3 linked regions of the Callithrix jacchus genome follow. The protein of the gene in region 2 interacts with the protein of the main gene of each other region in a pairwise test. Links are inferred from orthologs where the notes say so. Each region holds a gene or a part of one and is shown on either strand. Other genes may lie near its edges. The genes, in order: COX5B, BHLHE40 and WHR1.

Region 1 (5,677 bases), on a different chromosome or scaffold from region 2:
AGGTGGTTCCATTCATTGCATTATGGGTTGTCAATCCATTCTTATTATTAATCTAAGCACTATACACTGGTCATCCACTTTCAGTAAGTGGATGGCAAGTTAGCATTAACAGATAGCTATTTCGAAAATAAGAATATTCTATGCCTACCAAAAAATACAGGAAAGAGGTAAGACCAGCCATCTATGGGAGAAGAAGCCAATGCAATGGCTAGTCTTTATTGGAAAGAAGTTTTATAGCATATTTTGAGTAACTCAGTGCAGGCGCTCAGTGTGCCAGCTGGTGGGGCACCAGCTTGTAATAGGCTCCACAGCTGGGGCATCGCTGGGCCTCGCCTTTGTGCAACCAAAACCAGATGACAGTACTGTTGTCCTCTTCACCTAAAAGGGAAAAAAGGTGGTTGAGTCATTCTGTCTAGAAAGGGAGACTTTCAACATGAATTTCTTTTCCTCAGACACCTCTGATACACAAGACAGACTATGGTCAAGATAGTGACCAATAATGGTCAGTTCAAGCCCTCCTCCCATTATTCAGATGAAGAAATTGAGGCTCTGAGTCCACCTATAAGTAAAATGACCTAATATCAGGGTCACTGTAAATTCTTTTGTTTTTTTTCATCTCGCCCCGTCACCCAGGCTAGAGTGCAGTGGTGCCATCTCTGCTCACTGCAACCTCCACCTCCCAGGTTCAAGCGATTCTCCTACCTCAGCCTCCCAAGTAGCTGGGATTACAGGTGTGCACCACCATGCCCAGCTAATTTTTTGTATTTTTGGTAGAGACAGGGTTTCACCATGTTATCCAGGACGGTCTGGATCTCCTGACCTCGTGATCTGCTCGCCTCACCCTCCCAAAGTGCTGGTACTACAGGTGTGAGCCACAGCACCCAGCCAAGGCTCACTGTAAATTCTAACAATTCCCCTGCCCATGTAGAACACAAAGGAGGTCCATTCTGGTATGTATCCCTACTGTCTAAAACGATGCCTGGCATAGAAGCAATATAACAATAAATATTTGCTGGGTGGATACTCCTTCATGCCACACCTCCACTGAGCCAGTCTTTCCACCGTGCTGCGCTTCTTTCCAGGAAGGATGAACTATCAGGCATAATGAGGCTTGAACAAGACCCATAGGGAAACTCATTTACAAACATGTATTCACACACTATAAGATTTAAAGCAGCTTGGCCAGGCCCGGTGGCTCACACCTGTAATCCCAGCACTTTGGGAGGCCGAGGCGGGTGGATCACGAGGTCAAGAAATCGAGACCATCCTGGTCAACATGGTGAAACCCCATCTCTACTAAAAATACAAAAAATTAGCTGGGCATGGTGGTGCGTGCCTGTAATCCCAGCTACTCAGAGGCTGAGGCAGGAGAATTGCCTGAACCCAGGAGGCGGAGGTTGTGGTGAGCCGAGATCGCGCCATTGCACTCCAGCCTGGGTAACAACAGCGAAACTCCGTCTCAAAAAAAAAAAAAAGATTTAAAGCAGCTTATAGACTCCTGTACTATAGGATATATATTAAGTGGATAAAGAAATAGAGGTGAGGTACTTACAGATACAGCCCACTATTCTCTTGTTGGTGACAGAAGGAACTAAATTAGGGTCTTCCTTAGTGCCTGAAGCTCCCTTTGGGGGCAGTATATTGTATGGGTCCTGAAAAAAACACAAGAATTGAACCATTATGCCAAATAAGCCCTACGTTCCAGAAGCTCAGCGTGTTCCTATAAGCCAAGTTCCCTGGATCAAATACTCCCAGAGAGGAGACTACTATGAACACATACAAGAACGTAAGTTCCACGGAAGACACAGAAAGGAGTTTCTCACCAGTCCCTTTCTTGCAGCCAACATGATCTCCCTCTCCAACCCAGTCGCCTGGTCATCATCACTAGGAACACCACCTACAGGAAGATATGTGAATTATGATGCTGACTGAAATGATAGAAAAATTAGGAACAGAAATGATCAAGAAGAAAAATGCCACACTGAAACTTCTGCATACGTTTTAGTGGGCTCACAAGCTCCTAAAAGCTACTCATATCCATGGTCCCCAAAGAACCACCAAATCATGATCCACACAAGGGGCAGCACTTGGGGGAGCTGCTGCTTTTTTTTTTTTTTCCTCGTTGCCCAGGCTGGAGTGTAATGGCAAGTTGTCGGCTCACTGGAACCTCTGCCTCCTGGGTTTAAGCGATTCTCCCGCCTCCTGTGTAGCCGGGATTACAGGAGCACGCCACCACGACCAGCTAATTTTTTTTTTTTTTTAAGGAGTTTCATTCTTGTTGCCCAGGCTGGGGTGCAGTGCTATGATCTCGGCTCACTGCAACCTCCGCCTCCCGGGTTCAAGCAATTATCCTGCCTCAGCCTCTCCAGTACCTGGGATTACAGGTGCCCTCCACCACGCCTGGCTAATTTTCGTAATTTTGATAGAAACGGGGTTTCCTATCGTCCTGGCCTGGCTGGCCTCGATCTCCCAACCGCAGATGATGATCCGCCCGCCTCGGCCTCCCAACGTGCCGGGATTACAGGCGTGAGCCACCACGCCCAGCCCAATTTTTGTATTTTTAATAGAGACGGGGTTTCACCGTGTTGGCCAGGCTTGTCTCGAACTCCTGATCTCAGGTGATCCGCCCACCTCGGCCTCCCAAGGTGCTGGGATTACAGTCGTGAGCGCCCGGCGTAGGAGCTTTTCCTTCTCCAACCACCGAGACCAATTTGTCGACATTTGTCTAAAAGCAAGTTAGAGCCCACTCGGCTTGAGGCGGGCGCAGGTTTGAAGGGCGGCCGGACCCCTCCCCAACCCGGTCGCAGTCCCCACCCCTCCCAAGGTCACCCGGCACCTCCGTTTAGGATACTTTCGCAGAGGAGTCAGTTCGGGGGGGCGGCAGGAGCAGCGGCCTGGAATTATAGGAAGATGCCTGCAGAGCCTGAGACACTCCGGACCGTATGCGGTCACTGGGACCTCTAGTAGCTGCACGTCACGCCCCGCTCTGCCGCCCTGGGACCACTACGGGAGGGCAATACTCCGGTCCCTGGCAAGCCTGGGGAGCCGAGTACCTCCAGAGGCCATGGAGCGCACCGCGGCCGCACCATTGGGACCGCGAGCCCTCAAGGCCTGCGCGGCCAGCGCTCCGGCTCCGCGAAGTAACCTTGAAGCCATCGCGTCCGCGACAAGCAACAGCACTTCCGGGAACAGGATGCAAAGACAGGAGAGACTTCCGGGGGCGGGCTTCTTTCTCCTCCCGGTCAGCTTTCCGCTCCTTCCCCGCCCTCGGGCCCGCCCACTCCCGCCACCTTGGCGGGGGCGGAAACTGCGCATGCTCAAGTGTGCCTTTCCCTGCACCGCACAGTAGCTGAGGCTTGGGGGCGGGTTTGCTCTTTAGTAAGGCTGAGAGGTGAGCAAGTTGTTTTGGTGTTTGGAGCTCAGCGGCTAAACCACATTGGAGTTCCTCTGTATCTGGCCTGCACTTGGAGGCTACTGATGGAAGTCATTAAGTCCCCGCCTGTCAAGAGACTGACTGGACCCCAAATGATTTGAATTTGAAAGTGGGCTCCTAAAGATCTCTGCGTTCCTTGCTAGGCTAGTTAGTGGCAACGCTGGTTCTCTGGCAGTGCGTGAGCCGTCGCGAGCGTGTTGCATTGGACGGGACCTACCTGCAGTACTGGCCCAGTTTCCTGTTAGAGTTGTACTGTGGGGGGTTAGGCGCCGGGGTCCCTGCGGGGTCCCGGCCTAGGGAGGAGGACAGGACGGCGGCAGGACCCCGCCCAGGACCAAGAGCCTGCTGATGTGAAGAGAGAAAGTGGCCACTCTTCGAGGCCACTAGGGGAGGAGAAGTTAAAAAGGGGAGTTGATAATGGGAAATGGAGTCAGATCCTGCTGTGACTGGAATTCCGTTTGAAACGGAAAACATCTTCCGTCCATAGCTTTCCGTTGCCCCCACAGGCTAAGATGTGCAAATTTCTTAGGGTGAGCTTTAGTCTGTGTAGCCCTATGACAGGCTAGCTGCATGCGGTATCTGAGTTTCCCTACCAGATAGAAAAATCGCTTTAGAGTGGAATTAGCTCATTACTGAATTTTCAATGCCTTGCAGAGGTCTGGTATATAGTAGGATCCAGTAATTTTAGTAAATTTACTACTTGGATAGACTATATAAAACCAGTTTATAGGGCTTCTCCTGGCCCAGTGAGGTCAATTGGAAGCAAACTGGGTAGAGTTGAAGGCTCAGATGCTCCCACTTGTCTCATGCAGGCTATGATATTTTCAAAAGGACACGGTGGAGCATTGCCTCCCAGGAGCACGTCTGGTCTTCATGGGTGCCCCCTCCACCAATTAAAAAAAAAACAAACACCTGTATTCTGATACAAAAACCACCTTTAAAGGCCAAGATTTCCTTTAAAGGTGGTTTTTGCTTTGAATGGCTTCACTGTTACTCCCTTCTCTTTCACCTCCACTGCAACGCCTCCAAATTGAATTGAGGGAAAAAATTCTGAGCAATGTTCCCCAAGGACCTATAGTTAATTTGCAACTGTGTTTAGGTGTTTGGCAGGAGAAAAAGCATTGGTCTGGAAAGTAGCCTCACCAGCTAGTTCAGCCAGTCGCTTTTTCTCCTTTGGGCCACCATTTCTTCATCAGTAAAACTCGTTCAACTAGGTTAGTATTTCCCAAGTGTATTCCATGTCATCCAAGTCTCAAGATATGATCTTAAGAAAAAGGGCTTGGTCAAGACAGGGAAGTCCTGCGTTTCATGATCACTCTTTTGGAGCTGCACGAACATAATCAAGGCTCTGATTAGGCTTGCAGCAAGACCTTTTGTTTAATTTTCCTGCAGTTTAAGCCAAAGTTTCCCTATCTTAATTGACCACAAAACCCTTTCCTGAGGAACACCTACTAACTTGCCCCTCAGCAAACCAGTGAGATATTCAGCTCTGATGTGTTATGATTCCCAGCTGCCTGACCAGGAATGTTTTACTCCAGGCTGTAAGATGGAAACTGACTTTAGGCTTGTTTCTCACTCTCATTGTAGGTTTGCCTAATAGTAGGAAATTTTTGCAGGCCTTTATCTAACTCAGGAAAACCTCAGCCTCACTCTGGGATTATTTAGATTGTGTGAGTGAACTCCAAGGTCAGGGCCAGGCTCCCCAGATGTCCCCACATGCTGGAAGCATCCCCTGCTGCTTCCAGTTCCCACTACTCTCCATTCACACCCTGTCCCTCAGGTCTCCTTGAGAAACAGTTTGGCTTGGGGACCGGTCTGCCACCTCCGCTCCATCATTGTCTTTGCCAGCACAATAAACTTACTGAGTATTCTTTTATAGGCTAATTTTTAGTTGTCAAAATAAATATACACGGTAGGTCAAACAGGACAGATATGTAAGGAAAAAGCTAGCAGTTTGATGCTTATCCTTTTTTTCGTTCCCTATACCAGGTTTTCTCAAGCTCAGCACAACTGACATCTTGGGTTGATAATTATTTACAGGGAGGTTGTGCATTGTAGGATTTAACCCTATGCCATTAGCACTTCCCCGACATGATAACCAAAAACATCTTCAGCTATTGCCACATGCCCCCTGGATTTGCAAAATCCCCATTGAGCATCACTGCATATATGAATATAAAATATAAAAACATATAACTACTATATAAATTATTAGTAAGTTGCTTCCTTCATTAGAAATATTTT
Region 2 (5,677 bases):
TTTTCAATCCTTCCCACAGCCAGGTCACTCAGCAGCGGGGTGACTGACCCGAAGCGCACTGGGAAAGGCTTACAGTCATCTCTCAACTCCCCGAACTTGCAGGGCAGGGGAGCACAGAGGTCAGTGAAATCCCCAGCCAGGCCTTATTTTAGTCATGAGTTTCCACTCGCTCCCTCCTCTGACTGTATCGGGGCTGCTCACGCCGAGGGATTGGAGTTTCAGCTGTTTTCCCTGCTCCCGGCTGAGTTAGAAGGTCACAGAGCCCGGACTTTTCCGGGGGAGGTGGGTGGGGCCCTCCGGCAGCCTAAGTGAGATGGCAAAGATCTGGGCCGCTGGAGGAGGTCTTTCCGCCCCGAGCTCGGGGCTTTAGGTTGGCTTCTCCACACTTCTCTACCCAGGCATCTTGGTTAGCATCAAATTAAAAACAAAACACAAAGCAGCACAAGTTGTTTGTTTTTTTTCCCCTCTGTCAGCCAGTGGCCTCGATACAATTTTCCCAGGACTGCCTTTGCTTCATTGCTCAATTTATCCTCTTCCTAGAGGATAAATTCAAGGGCAAGGTCCATGTAGGATTCACACATAAGCACAGCGCCTAGCACAGAGTAAGGGGCTCATTAAACATGTGTCGACTGCATGAATCCTAAGATTTCACCGTAACCAGTGTTTTTTTTTCTTGTCTCTCTCATCCCTCCTGCCCCGGGTGCTGACCGCAAACAGCGCCGCCGAAGTTCCTAACAGACAGGGAGAAGGCGGATCCCGGCTGGCGCACCACGTCCCCGGGGTCTCAGTCCCCGGGTCCACGCAGAGGGGCTCGCGGTCCGCCGTGCTGCGGCCTGAGCCCCGGCCACGTGAAGCGTCACGCCCTGCGCTGCTGCAGGGCAGGCGCCGCCGCCGCGGTTGTGTAACGCTGCAGCCGGAGGGGAGGCGACCCGGGCGCCTCTGCTCTGGAGGGGGCAGAGGAGGGAGGGAACGCCGGGCACCGCGCCCGGTATCTTTCTGTGCTTGACTGGCCTGGAGGAAGGGGGTGACATTGGGGCACCCAGGGGGCTGCGCAACCGGGTGCCCGCCTGCCCGCAGGCTGTGCCTGGGAGCGGAGCTACAGGGGAGCGAGGGGTCCTCGGCTCACACCCTTGGCGGTCAGGTGCGCGCGGCGTGCTCGGCGGCAGCCTCAGCTGCCCCTTCGCTTGGCTGCCGGCCCGCTTCCCATGGGGTGACATCCGCCCCGCCCCTCAGTCCCTCCCCAAGGCGGGCAATTCCTGGACACAAGGGTGAGCGGTGGGGGCAGGGAAGCCAGGACGGAAAGAAACCCCAGCCTCTGGGTAAGGCTGGGGGGCCGGGCGACTCCCTCCGCTGCGCGCCGCTTCCTCCAAGCGGGCCGGGCGGGGGAGGAGGAAGAGGGCTGGGCTGGAGCTAGCAAGGGGATATTCCTCTCCCGGCTTGAGTCAGACGCGGGCGGATCCGTCCTCCCCCGTTCCCTCCCAGGAGACGGGAACTTACTTCATTTCCCTGGGGCAGGTTCGCCCACGTTACCAACTCTCCCCCTCCCCCAATTCCCCGGTGCCTTCCAGCTTCCGCGCCCCCCACCCAGCTGGGCAGGACCCAGGTCGCGCTGCCACCTCCTCTTCGGGGAAAGACGGCCGCAGCCGCAGACACCTGGGGGCTGGGGCTGGGGGTGGGGGCTCCCTAGCAGCCGCCGGAGCGTTGTCCAACACGTGAGACTCATGTGATGAAGCCGGGGGAGGGCGGGCAGGTCGCTCCTTCCCTCCCCGGCAGTGGCCAGACGTGCCTGGAGTCACAGGGTAGAACACGTAGCTCCAACCCACCCACTCGCTCCCATTTAACCCAGCCCGCAGCCTCTCCATTACTCCTCGGCTTGTCCCCCCCAACCCCCCTACTCCGCCCTAACCTCCCCCCCCCCGGTCCCTCCCGCCTCCCCGCCCGCTCCACTTCTCATTCACTGGGCTCGCACGGCGCAGACCGCGCAGGGAGCACACACCGCCAGTCTGTGCGCTGAGTTGGAGCCAGAGGCCGCGGGGACACCGGGCTATGCACGCCCCCAACTGAAGCTCCATCTCAAAGCCGAAGATTCCAGCAGCCCAGGGGATTTCAAAGATCTCAGACTCAAAGGAACATCTGCGGAGACACCCCCGAAGCCCGCTCCAGGACAGTCCTCATCTGAGACGCTCCACTAGTGCAGACAAGAGCGCGCAGTGGCCCCGGCTCGTCGCGCAATGGAGCGGATCCCCAGCGCGCAACCACCCCCAGCCTGCCTGCCCAAAGCACCGGGACTGGAGCACGGAGACCTACCAGGGTAAGTTGGCACTCCTTGGTCCCTTCAAGCCTCAGCTCCAGCCCCATGTTATGAGCCACTCTCAACTTGGAGCAGCTCCGGGCACACCGCGGGGGGGTTCTTGCCCGGCCGGACACCTGCAGCCTTGCGCACGCAGTCACGACCCTTCCTGGTCTCTCTTCCTGCAGGATGGATTTTGCTCACATGTACCAAGTGTATAAGTCAAGGCGGGGAATAAAGCGGAGCGAGGACAGCAAGGTAAGGAAGTGCACCCCTGGGAACCCCGCTCTCAGCCCCTCGCGCGCGCTGAGTTTCCAAGAAAAGTTTTCTCGCTTTGAGACTGGCGAGGGGATGCAGGGTGTGGGCTCGGTACCTCTACTGAGTGACTTGGAAAAGAAAGGGCAGATGATGGTTCTGGGTGCTACTCTGCTCCTCTGACGGAGTCTTGCTGCGGGGCTGGGAGAAGGATAGCCTTCTTATCCCCTTCCCCAGGCGCCCACCGCCTCCCCGTGCGTCTTGCAGGAGACCTACAAATTGCCGCACCGGCTCATCGAGAAAAAGAGACGTGACCGGATTAACGAGTGCATCGCCCAGCTGAAGGATCTCCTACCCGAACATCTCAAACTTACAGTAAGTGAGAAGCTGGCCCGTTTCCAACCCAGCTCCTTTGCCCAGAGGGCGGGCGGGGGTCACTCGCCGCCTGCAGGTTCCGCAAGGAACTGCAGACCAGACGGGCGGATCGGAGCTAGCGGGTGGCTCTGTGGTAGGGTTCCCCCCTCCCCAGTCCTGGCGTTTTCTGGTAGATTCATGCAAATGAAGCGAGAACCTCTCGGACCTCTCCAAGTTGGCTCCAACACCAGCTGGCCTTCCTTTTCAAGAGTTTAACTTCTGGTGATTTTCAGGATTCTCTAGTTTTTCTCAGTTAAAAGACTACGCCAAGCAAAACGCACGTTTTATTTACCCCTTCCCCTCCACCACTCCCCCCCACTTTTTTTCTTGTTGTTAAATAAGGGGACTTGCTTTGGCGTGTCCTTTTTTACGGCTGTCCTTTCTTGACAGTAGCCCTCGGCTACTTGGCAGCCTTTGGTTGGGGAAATGGAAAAAAAAAATTGTATTTCGGGAGGAGCAAAAAAGCCTGGATGAGCTGGAAGTTCTGAAAGGGTGTAAGGAAAGAAGTAGGGGAAGCCTCTTGGCTGCCAGACATAATAGAGGTCTCTCTCTGAGTTGACACCACTGCGGGGAAATGTTATCTCTGGATTCCCCTGGGTTAAGGTCAGCAGAGGCTGCTGGAGAAATTTATCTGTCAAAGCATTTTCCTGAGGTAGTTGCAGCTACCAAAATGCCTCCAAAGATAGATGACACCGTTTTTTAAATTCTTTAATTAAAGAATTAAAGACTTGAGTGTGTTTATCTGTCTTTTTAAAAGCATGATCTACAAACTTAAAACAGCCAACTGGGAAAGACTATTCCACTTTTTTGTTTCTATTAGAGACATTTCTCATTGCTAATAAATGTCCCAAAGGTGGGACTTCTCTGACCTCACAGCTGACTAAGGCTCTTTTCCTTCCAGACTTTGGGTCACCTGGAAAAAGCAGTGGTTCTTGAACTTACCTTGAAGCATGTGAAAGCACTAACAAACCTAATTGATCAGCAGCAGCAGAAAATCATTGCCCTGCAGAGCGGCTTACAAGCTGGTGAGTGCTGATTCTGACTATCTTCTCTTTATGAGTTTGAGCACAAATAGAGAGCCCGTGGGCTCAACATCTGATGTAAGAAACATGACTGCAACAAATTGCTTATGCACGTTCATTGGGGGAGATGCAGTTTTATCTTTCCTAAAAGGTCAGACTTTTCATTTGAAATGCTGTGTGCCACGTGGCATGAATACATATTAGTAAAATGATAAGATATTCCTGTGGCATTTTGGCTTGAGAATCTCTTGGTTCTGGGAGATTTCCCTATTCCCTTTTAAAATGCCAAGGCACCTATAATTTGCATTGTGGGTGTTTTACAGTTGGTCTTCTTAGCCCTCTGTCATTGGAGAAGAGATCGTGGGTATGCCCCAGTGTTTTCCTGGGTCTTTGCTTCCTTGTTACTTGGTGTGTGGTGTGATGCTGGCAGGATACAGCAGGAGTTTTTCCTGCATTTCATGTGGTTCCCTGAATAGCCACTAGGTATCTTGGTGAATTGCACAATCTAGCGAAACCACTGAAGTTTCATCATTCGTTTCTACTGACTTCCAGAGAATCAGAGTCACCTTCTAACCTTCTAGTCTGACTCTTTTCAAATAATACTGTACAGACTGGGGGGAATTATTCTACCCACTCCCTCATTTCATTCTTTTCTCTCTTCTTCTCAAAGTCTCATATGAAAATTGCAAAATCCCAGCAAATGCTTCTGCCAGTTTCCTCATTAAAAATAGGAAGATGGTCATACCTAATGTCTTGAGGATCATGGATAGAATATATGGAAAAAAGATAGAAATAGAGAGCCTAATTAAAGATCACAGCATGACTGCAACTTTTACAAGTCATTAAAAATAAGTTTACTTTAGGTGATATTGTACCTTCATTCTTTTCCTCATTTTGTGACTGTCCGGCCTCTGCCCATTTTGCCATGGTGCAATGTTATATGCATTGACTCTTAGGTTTATATCAGAAGGTTCTCTGCTGCCTCACTTACATGGAAAACTCACAAACAACCTATACATTCCAAAACAGGGAAAACAGCCCATCTCTATTAATTACAGTCCATTTCCATGATGAAGTATTATGCAGCCACTAAAAAATCATATTTTATCTGAGTGTTAGCATATGGATTATTTTAATTCTTTATACTTTCCAGTGTAATTCTTCTCTGAGCATATTATTTTTGGAGTTAAGAACACAGGTCAGTAATGCAATTTTTTTTTTTTAATGAAAACGAAAGCCCCCTGGTGTTCGGGGCATAGGTATCCAGGTGTATCACAGGGCCTTCTGAAATGTCTTTCTTCGGATATGTGTTTCCCCAGGTGAGCTGTCAGGGAGAAATGTCGAAACAGGTCAAGAGATGTTCTGCTCAGGCTTCCAGACATGTGCCCGGGAGGTGCTTCAGTATCTGGCCAAGCATGAGAACACTCGGGACCTGAAGTCTTCTCAGCTTGTTACCCACCTCCACCGCGTGGTCTCAGAGCTGCTTCAGGGTGGTACCTCCAGGAAGCCATCAGACCCAGCTCCCAAAGTGATGGACTTCAAGGAGAAACCCAGCTCTCTGGCCAAAGGCTCGGAAGGTCCTGGGAAAAACTGTGTCCCAGTCATCCAGCGGACTTTTGCTCACTCAAGTGGGGAGCAGAGCGGCAGTGACACGGACACAGACAGTGGCTATGGAGGAGAATCTGAGAAGGGCGAC
Region 3 (5,677 bases), on a different chromosome or scaffold from region 2:
CTCAAAAAACAAAAGAGAATGAGAACTAAGGGAACAATTACCATAGCAGTCATCTCCCAGGAACATTCTGATCAGAGATGTTTTGATCAGAGAATATACATGTGATACTGGCCATGTTCTATAATTTGACCTAGGCAGTGGCTAGATGGGTATCTGCTTTATAAACATTATTTAAATTACGTATGTTTGTATTTTCATTCTGCAATTTTCAAAGGTTTTTAAAAATAAAAGCTAACACCAATATATTAAAAACAAATACTCTTTAAGGAGTGGTTCCATCTAGCATGCTTCCTAAAACGAGCCTTAGTGAGGAAGCCTAGCTCTCTCTTCCTTTTCTTCCCTCTTTTCTTGACAGATCACTATTAAACTTCTACCTGCTAAATGCAGATTTCAGTTCGGGGTTTTTTTGTTGTTGTTTTCATTTTTTTTTCTTTTTCTTTTCTTTCTTTCTTTTTTCTTTTATTCTTGTTTTTTTATCTTTTTTTTTTTTTTTTTTTTTTTTTTTGAGATGGAGTTTTGCTCTTGTTGCCCAGGCTGGATTGCAATGGTGTGATCTCAGCTCACCGCAACCTCCACCTTCCTAGTTCAAGGGATTCTCCTGCCTCAGCCTCCTGAGTAGCTGTGATTACAGGTATGCACCACCACACCCAGCTAATTTGTATTTTTAGTACAAATTACAACATGGTTTCTCCATGTTGGTCAGGCTAGTCTCAAACTCCTGACCTCAAGTGATCTGCCTACCTTGGCCTCCCAAAGTGCTGGGATTACAGGCATGAGCCATCATGCCCAGCCTCATTTTCATTTTTTTAGAGACAGGGTCTTACTCTGTCACCCAGGCTGGAGTGCAGTCATGCATCATAGCTCACTGCAGCCTCAAACTCCTGGGCTCAAGCAATCCTTCTGCCTCAACTTCCCAAATAGCTAGAATTACAGGTGCACACTACCATGCTCAGCTAAGAATTTTTGTGTTTTATTTTATTTATTTAATAGAGATGGGGGGGTCTCACTTTGTTGCTCAGGCTGGTCTCAAACTTTTGGTTTCAAGCTATCCTCCTGCCTCAGCCTCCCAAAGTGATGGGATTACAGGTATGAGCCACCACACTCAGCTTAGATTTCAGTTTACGTTTTACTTTACCTCTTCCCTCTTCTTAGACATGGGGCACTGGCTTGAATCACAGGTTGTAATACTGCCAACTACTTCACTTTCTCAAAATTTTCTTTACTTTCACAATAGTCCTCTTCCTGGGTTACTTTTTTTTTTTTTTTTTTGAGACAAGGTCTAGCTCTGTCACCCGGGCTGGGGTGCAGTGGTACTATCTCAGCTCACTACAACATCCGCCTCCCCAGCTCAAGCAGTACTCCCACCTCAGGCTCCCCAGTAGTTCTACAGGCATGTAACACCATGCCTGGCTAATTTTTGTATTTTTTGTAGAGATGGGGTTTTGTCATGTTGCCCATGCTGGTCTTGAATTCATGAACTCAAAAGATTCACCTAGGCATCCCAAAGTGCTGGGATTACAGGTGTGAGCCACTGTGCCAGCCTCTGGGTTCCTCTTAACTTAGGCAATTTTCTCTGCCTCTGTCATATATTCCTCTTCTTCTGCTTTCCCTTTTCATCAGTGGATCTCAAATTTTAAGGCACACTTAAAAAGTCCTTGAGACAGTTCAAAAATGTAGATTCCCAAATCTACCAAGAGATCGTAATTCATTAACCTTGGATGAGTCCCAGGAACCTATATGCTTTTAATAAGCAACCCATGTAATTTTAACACAGGCAATAACTGAGGTCATACATTCAGTAACACTGCCTTAAATGATAGTGTTTCCGAGGATTATGGATTTGACCCTATTATCTTCCACTCTAAATCTGGAGTCCTTAACCACAGACCTTGGAGGATTAGTGAAATATATCTCCCTTAACTGTACATATACTCTGTGTATATGTGACATGCATGCATTTTTCTGAAGAGATAGCCACAGCTTTTATCACCTTTTAACGCTTATATAAAGGTTAGAAATCACTCCTCTACCCACGCTTCCTACTGAATCTCACCCACATACACAGAATTAACCACTTGCTATTCACACCTCCATGACTTGTTCTACATCACTGGCCCAGAATTCTCTCCAACTCTCATATCTAACTGCCTAATAATTTTTGTCTTTGGAGGCTCCACATGCACCATCAACTCAACTTGTACAAAATTAAACACATCATCTGCACTCCAACAACTAAATGTGCTCCTAATATCACCAGACACACAGTCATCTGGAAAGTCTGAGTTGTCCTCGACTCCTCCCTCTTCCTCACTCTCCTCTCCCTCCCTGCTGCACTGACCTAGTTTAGGCCTTCACTTCTCAAATGCAGTATCTTCTTAGCTGACCCCTCTGCCTCATCCACTAACTCCAATACACCATTCCCTCTCCTCTATGACATTCTCTACAAGCTCATCGCCTCAGTGTAAGATGGAAACCACACTGATGTACAAGGCCTGTCGAACTGCACTCCTAAGGGGAAACCATGCCCCATGACTCGGTTTCCCCAAAACCCTCGTTCTTCTACCTCCCAGATTTGAAATGCCCTGTACTCTCTGCGGGCCTTTTAACAGGGTCTGTAGCGTTCTCTGTGGCACCCCAGTGCCTGGCACAGTTCCCTCCCCTGAAAGGCCTAAAGCTTGCTGAACGGCTGACGGAGTGATTGAGTGACAGGAAAATTTAGGAGTTAGGAAAGGGGCCTCCGGCCGTCGCACCGATGCCCCTCACCAGCTGCCGGTCGGCCACGGTCCTGTCAGGCACTAGGCTGTACACCTGGCTTCTCAGCACGATGGGCGGCAGCGCGTCCTCAAACAGGCCTCGCGGGAACAGCTGCATGAGCTCTGAGACAGCCGCGCGCGCCGACCCTGGGCAGAGAAACCGGGTCACTGACAGGGAACTGGGGCAGGGACGCTGTTCTCACAAAACTCTCGGCCACCGGAAGCGAGGCCCCGCCCAGCTGGGGTCTTTAGCCCCGCCCCGGGGTTGCCATGGTTACCTCGCTCTCCCCGCAGAGGATCCGATTCCACAGGCCCTCGTTTCTGCCGCCTCTTAAGTCCACTGGTCTCCGAGACCAGGCGATGCCTCTTCCGGCTCATATCCCGGGATTTTATGATACCGGGGAAGAGGTAGAGGTAGAGGGAAGATAACCGGATAATAGGGTCTTCCGGCGCAGAGCAGTGACGTACGGCTTCCCCGGGCGTCCCTTCCAGTAGACCAGGTGACACAGCGTATGTACCAAGACGTGATGACGAAAGGGGCGTCAACTTGTCACCCCTCAGGCCCGTGCTGGAAGGGGCCCTTGCCGACGCAGATACCAGCATCACCTCCGCCGGGCCGGGCCCCACGCCTACAGCGGATTGGGTCCCTCCAAGAGCACGCACTCCCTGGGACTCGTGTGCGGCGTGGAGGGGCGCCGGTGACCACGTTAGGATCAACCTCTTGAGGGAAGCTCATACCTCCCCCGCCCCGCCAAGGGTTTACCCGCCTGTCGCTGAATGATTGCATCATCGAAAGCAGAAAAACCACTTTTGCATCCTTCGGCCTCTGTGACGTCAGAGCTCTACAGAGGTGCAAGTTGCGCGGGCATTGAGGTAACCAAATTCTTGATCTGAGCGCAGACGTCCTTCCTAACCTCACTGCAGGAGAACCTGAAGGGAGGGTGGGTAAAGGACAAGGAAAGAGGCAGGATGAGAGCTTGGCCTAGGTGCCGTCTGGGAGGCCTGCATGTTTCACGGCCGGAGCCTTGCGATCAGGTGGTTCGCTTAGTCCTAAACCACATTCACCCTTCTCCAGGCCTCCTCTGTAAAATGGAAATTCTTTCCCCCTGCCTCCCGTAGGACTTCATGGAGCCCAGGGGGACCAAGAGAGAAGTTGGGAAGACAGAGGTAGCTGAGCCTCGGAACAAACTACCCCGTCCAGCACCTTCTCTGCCAACAGACCCTGCCCTCTACTCTGGGCCCTTTCCTTTCTACCGGCGCCCTTCGGAACTGGGCTGCTTCTCCCTGGATGCTCAACGCCAGTACCATGGAGATGCCCGAGCCCTACGCTACTACAGCCCACCCCCCACCAATGGTCCAGGCCCCAACTTTGACCTCAGAGACGGATACCCGGATCGATACCAGCCCCGGGACGAGGAGGTCCAAGAAAGGCTGGACCACCTGCTGTGCTGGCTTCTGGAACACCGAGGCCAGTTGGAGGGGTGAGCAAAGCATAGCGGGCAGTAGATCTGGAGACATGCACCTACCCTCTAAAATTAGGAGCCAAAGCTGGGGTGAGAATGACTCCTTAGAAAAAAACAGGCTATTCTTGGGAGGGAGCATCTCACTAATGCTTGAGTCAGACCGTCAGACTGTAACTCTCTCTCAGGGGTCCAGGCTGGCTGGCAGGGGCCATAGTGACTTGGCGGGGGCACCTGACAAAATTGCTGACGACACCGTATGAGCAGCAGGAGGGCTGGCAGCTGGCAGCCTCCCGGTTCCAGGGAACACTATACCTGAGTGAGGTGGAGACACCGGCCGCTCGGGCTCAGAGGCTTGCTCGCCCGCTGCTCCTCCGGGAGCTTATGTACATGGGATACAAATTTGAGCAGTACATGTGTGCAGGTGAGTTGCCCCTGCTTCATAGCCCCTTTCCCCTTCCCAGAGATTGAGAGACCCCACCCTGCTGCTGCTTCTCTCCTTACGCAGACAAACCTGGAAGCTCCCCAGACCCCTCTGGGGAGGTTAACACCAACGTGGCCTTCTGCTCTGTGCTACGCAGCCGCCTGGGAAGCCACCCTCTGCTCTTCTCAGGGGAGGTAGACTGCACAGACCCCCAGGCCCCATCCACACAGCCCCCCACCTGCTATGTGGAACTCAAGACCTCCAAGGAGATGCACAGCCCTGGCCAATGGAGGAGCTTCTACAGGTTCAGGATAGGGGTCGGCAGGGCGAAAGCCTAGACTTGAAGGCTGGGAAAGGGACTTGGGGAGGAGGGTGAAGGCAGAATGGATGGTAGACAAGGGGCGCCACTGACCCCTTGCTTTTCCTGACAGACACAAGCTTCTGAAATGGTGGGCTCAGTCATTCCTCCCAGGGGTCCCGAATGTTGTTGCTGGCTTCCGTAACCCAGAAGGTTTTGTCTCTTCTCTCAAGACCTTTCCTACCATGGAGATGTTTGAATATGTTAGGGTAAGGGAATGGTGTTGTAGCTCCCATCGTATCCCCAAACACCAAGACCACAGGTCTAATGTCCAGGGCAGCAGCCTGTCTTCCCCTCCTCCTACCACCCCAACTGCCAGTCTTATGCCTCCTCTTCTGCCTGTTCCAGAATGACCGTGATGGCTGGAATCCCTCTGTGTGCATGAACTTCTGTGCTGCCTTCCTTAGCTTTGCCCAGAGCACAGTTGTCCATGATGACCCCAGGTAAGGCATTCAGCTCTGTTCCTCCCCTGTGGATCCCAGGATCCAGCCTCCAGCCCTTAATTGATGCCTCCATCTGCCCCCCAGACTTGTTCACCTCTTCTCTTGGGAGCCTGGCGGCCCAGTCACTGTGTCTGTACACCGAGATGCACCCTATGCCTTCCTGCCCATATGGTATGTGGAAGCCATGACTCAGGACCTCCCATCACCCCCCAAGACTCCCTCCCCCAAATAGTGATACT

Evidence for each region.
Region 1: the proteins of BHLHE40 (region 2) and COX5B interact in binary tests that used the Homo sapiens proteins (3 or more experiments, as listed by UniProt). The two-hybrid records come from large-scale screens. The link is inferred for Callithrix jacchus from reciprocal best matches to the Homo sapiens genes BHLHE40 and COX5B.
Region 3: the proteins of BHLHE40 (region 2) and WHR1 interact in a two-hybrid assay, tested with the Homo sapiens proteins (2 studies listed by BioGRID). The two-hybrid records come from large-scale screens. The link is inferred for Callithrix jacchus from reciprocal best matches to the Homo sapiens genes BHLHE40 and WHR1.

The regions. Positions count from the first base shown.
Region 1 is NC_133515.1:6,949,991-6,955,667, reverse strand, and holds COX5B (cytochrome c oxidase subunit 5B, mitochondrial), read right to left. Parts: upstream 3,176-5,677; 5' UTR 3,157-3,175; coding exon 3,054-3,156; intron 1,898-3,053; coding exon 1,824-1,897; intron 1,653-1,823; coding exon 1,553-1,652; intron 379-1,552; coding exon 266-378; 3' UTR 183-265; downstream 1-182. UniProt on the Homo sapiens protein: Component of the cytochrome c oxidase, the last enzyme in the mitochondrial electron transport chain which drives oxidative phosphorylation.
Region 2 is NC_133516.1:62,118,212-62,123,888, forward strand, and holds the start of BHLHE40 (class E basic helix-loop-helix protein 40), read left to right. Parts: upstream 1-1,952; 5' UTR 1,953-2,231; coding exon 2,232-2,311; exon of another isoform or gene 2,312-2,478; coding exon 2,479-2,548; intron 2,549-2,663; exon of another isoform or gene 2,664-2,812; coding exon 2,813-2,920; intron 2,921-3,860; coding exon 3,861-3,984; intron 3,985-5,300; coding exon 5,301-5,677. UniProt on the Homo sapiens protein: Transcriptional repressor involved in the regulation of the circadian rhythm by negatively regulating the activity of the clock genes and clock-controlled genes.
Region 3 is NC_133505.1:39,488,869-39,494,545, reverse strand, and holds the start of WHR1 (winged helix repair factor 1), read right to left. Parts: upstream 3,529-5,677; 5' UTR 3,357-3,528; coding exon 3,032-3,356; intron 2,901-3,031; coding exon 2,764-2,900; intron 1-2,763. Other genes in the region: DXO (decapping and exoribonuclease protein), read left to right, coding at 3,531-3,626, 3,873-4,234, 4,402-4,637, 4,722-4,941, 5,069-5,204, 5,344-5,438, 5,523-5,670. UniProt on the Homo sapiens protein: DNA-binding protein which is required for efficient transcription-coupled nucleotide excision repair (TC-NER). Acts as part of a TC-NER complex which assembles and interacts with RNA polymerase II (RNAPII) when it stalls at DNA lesions.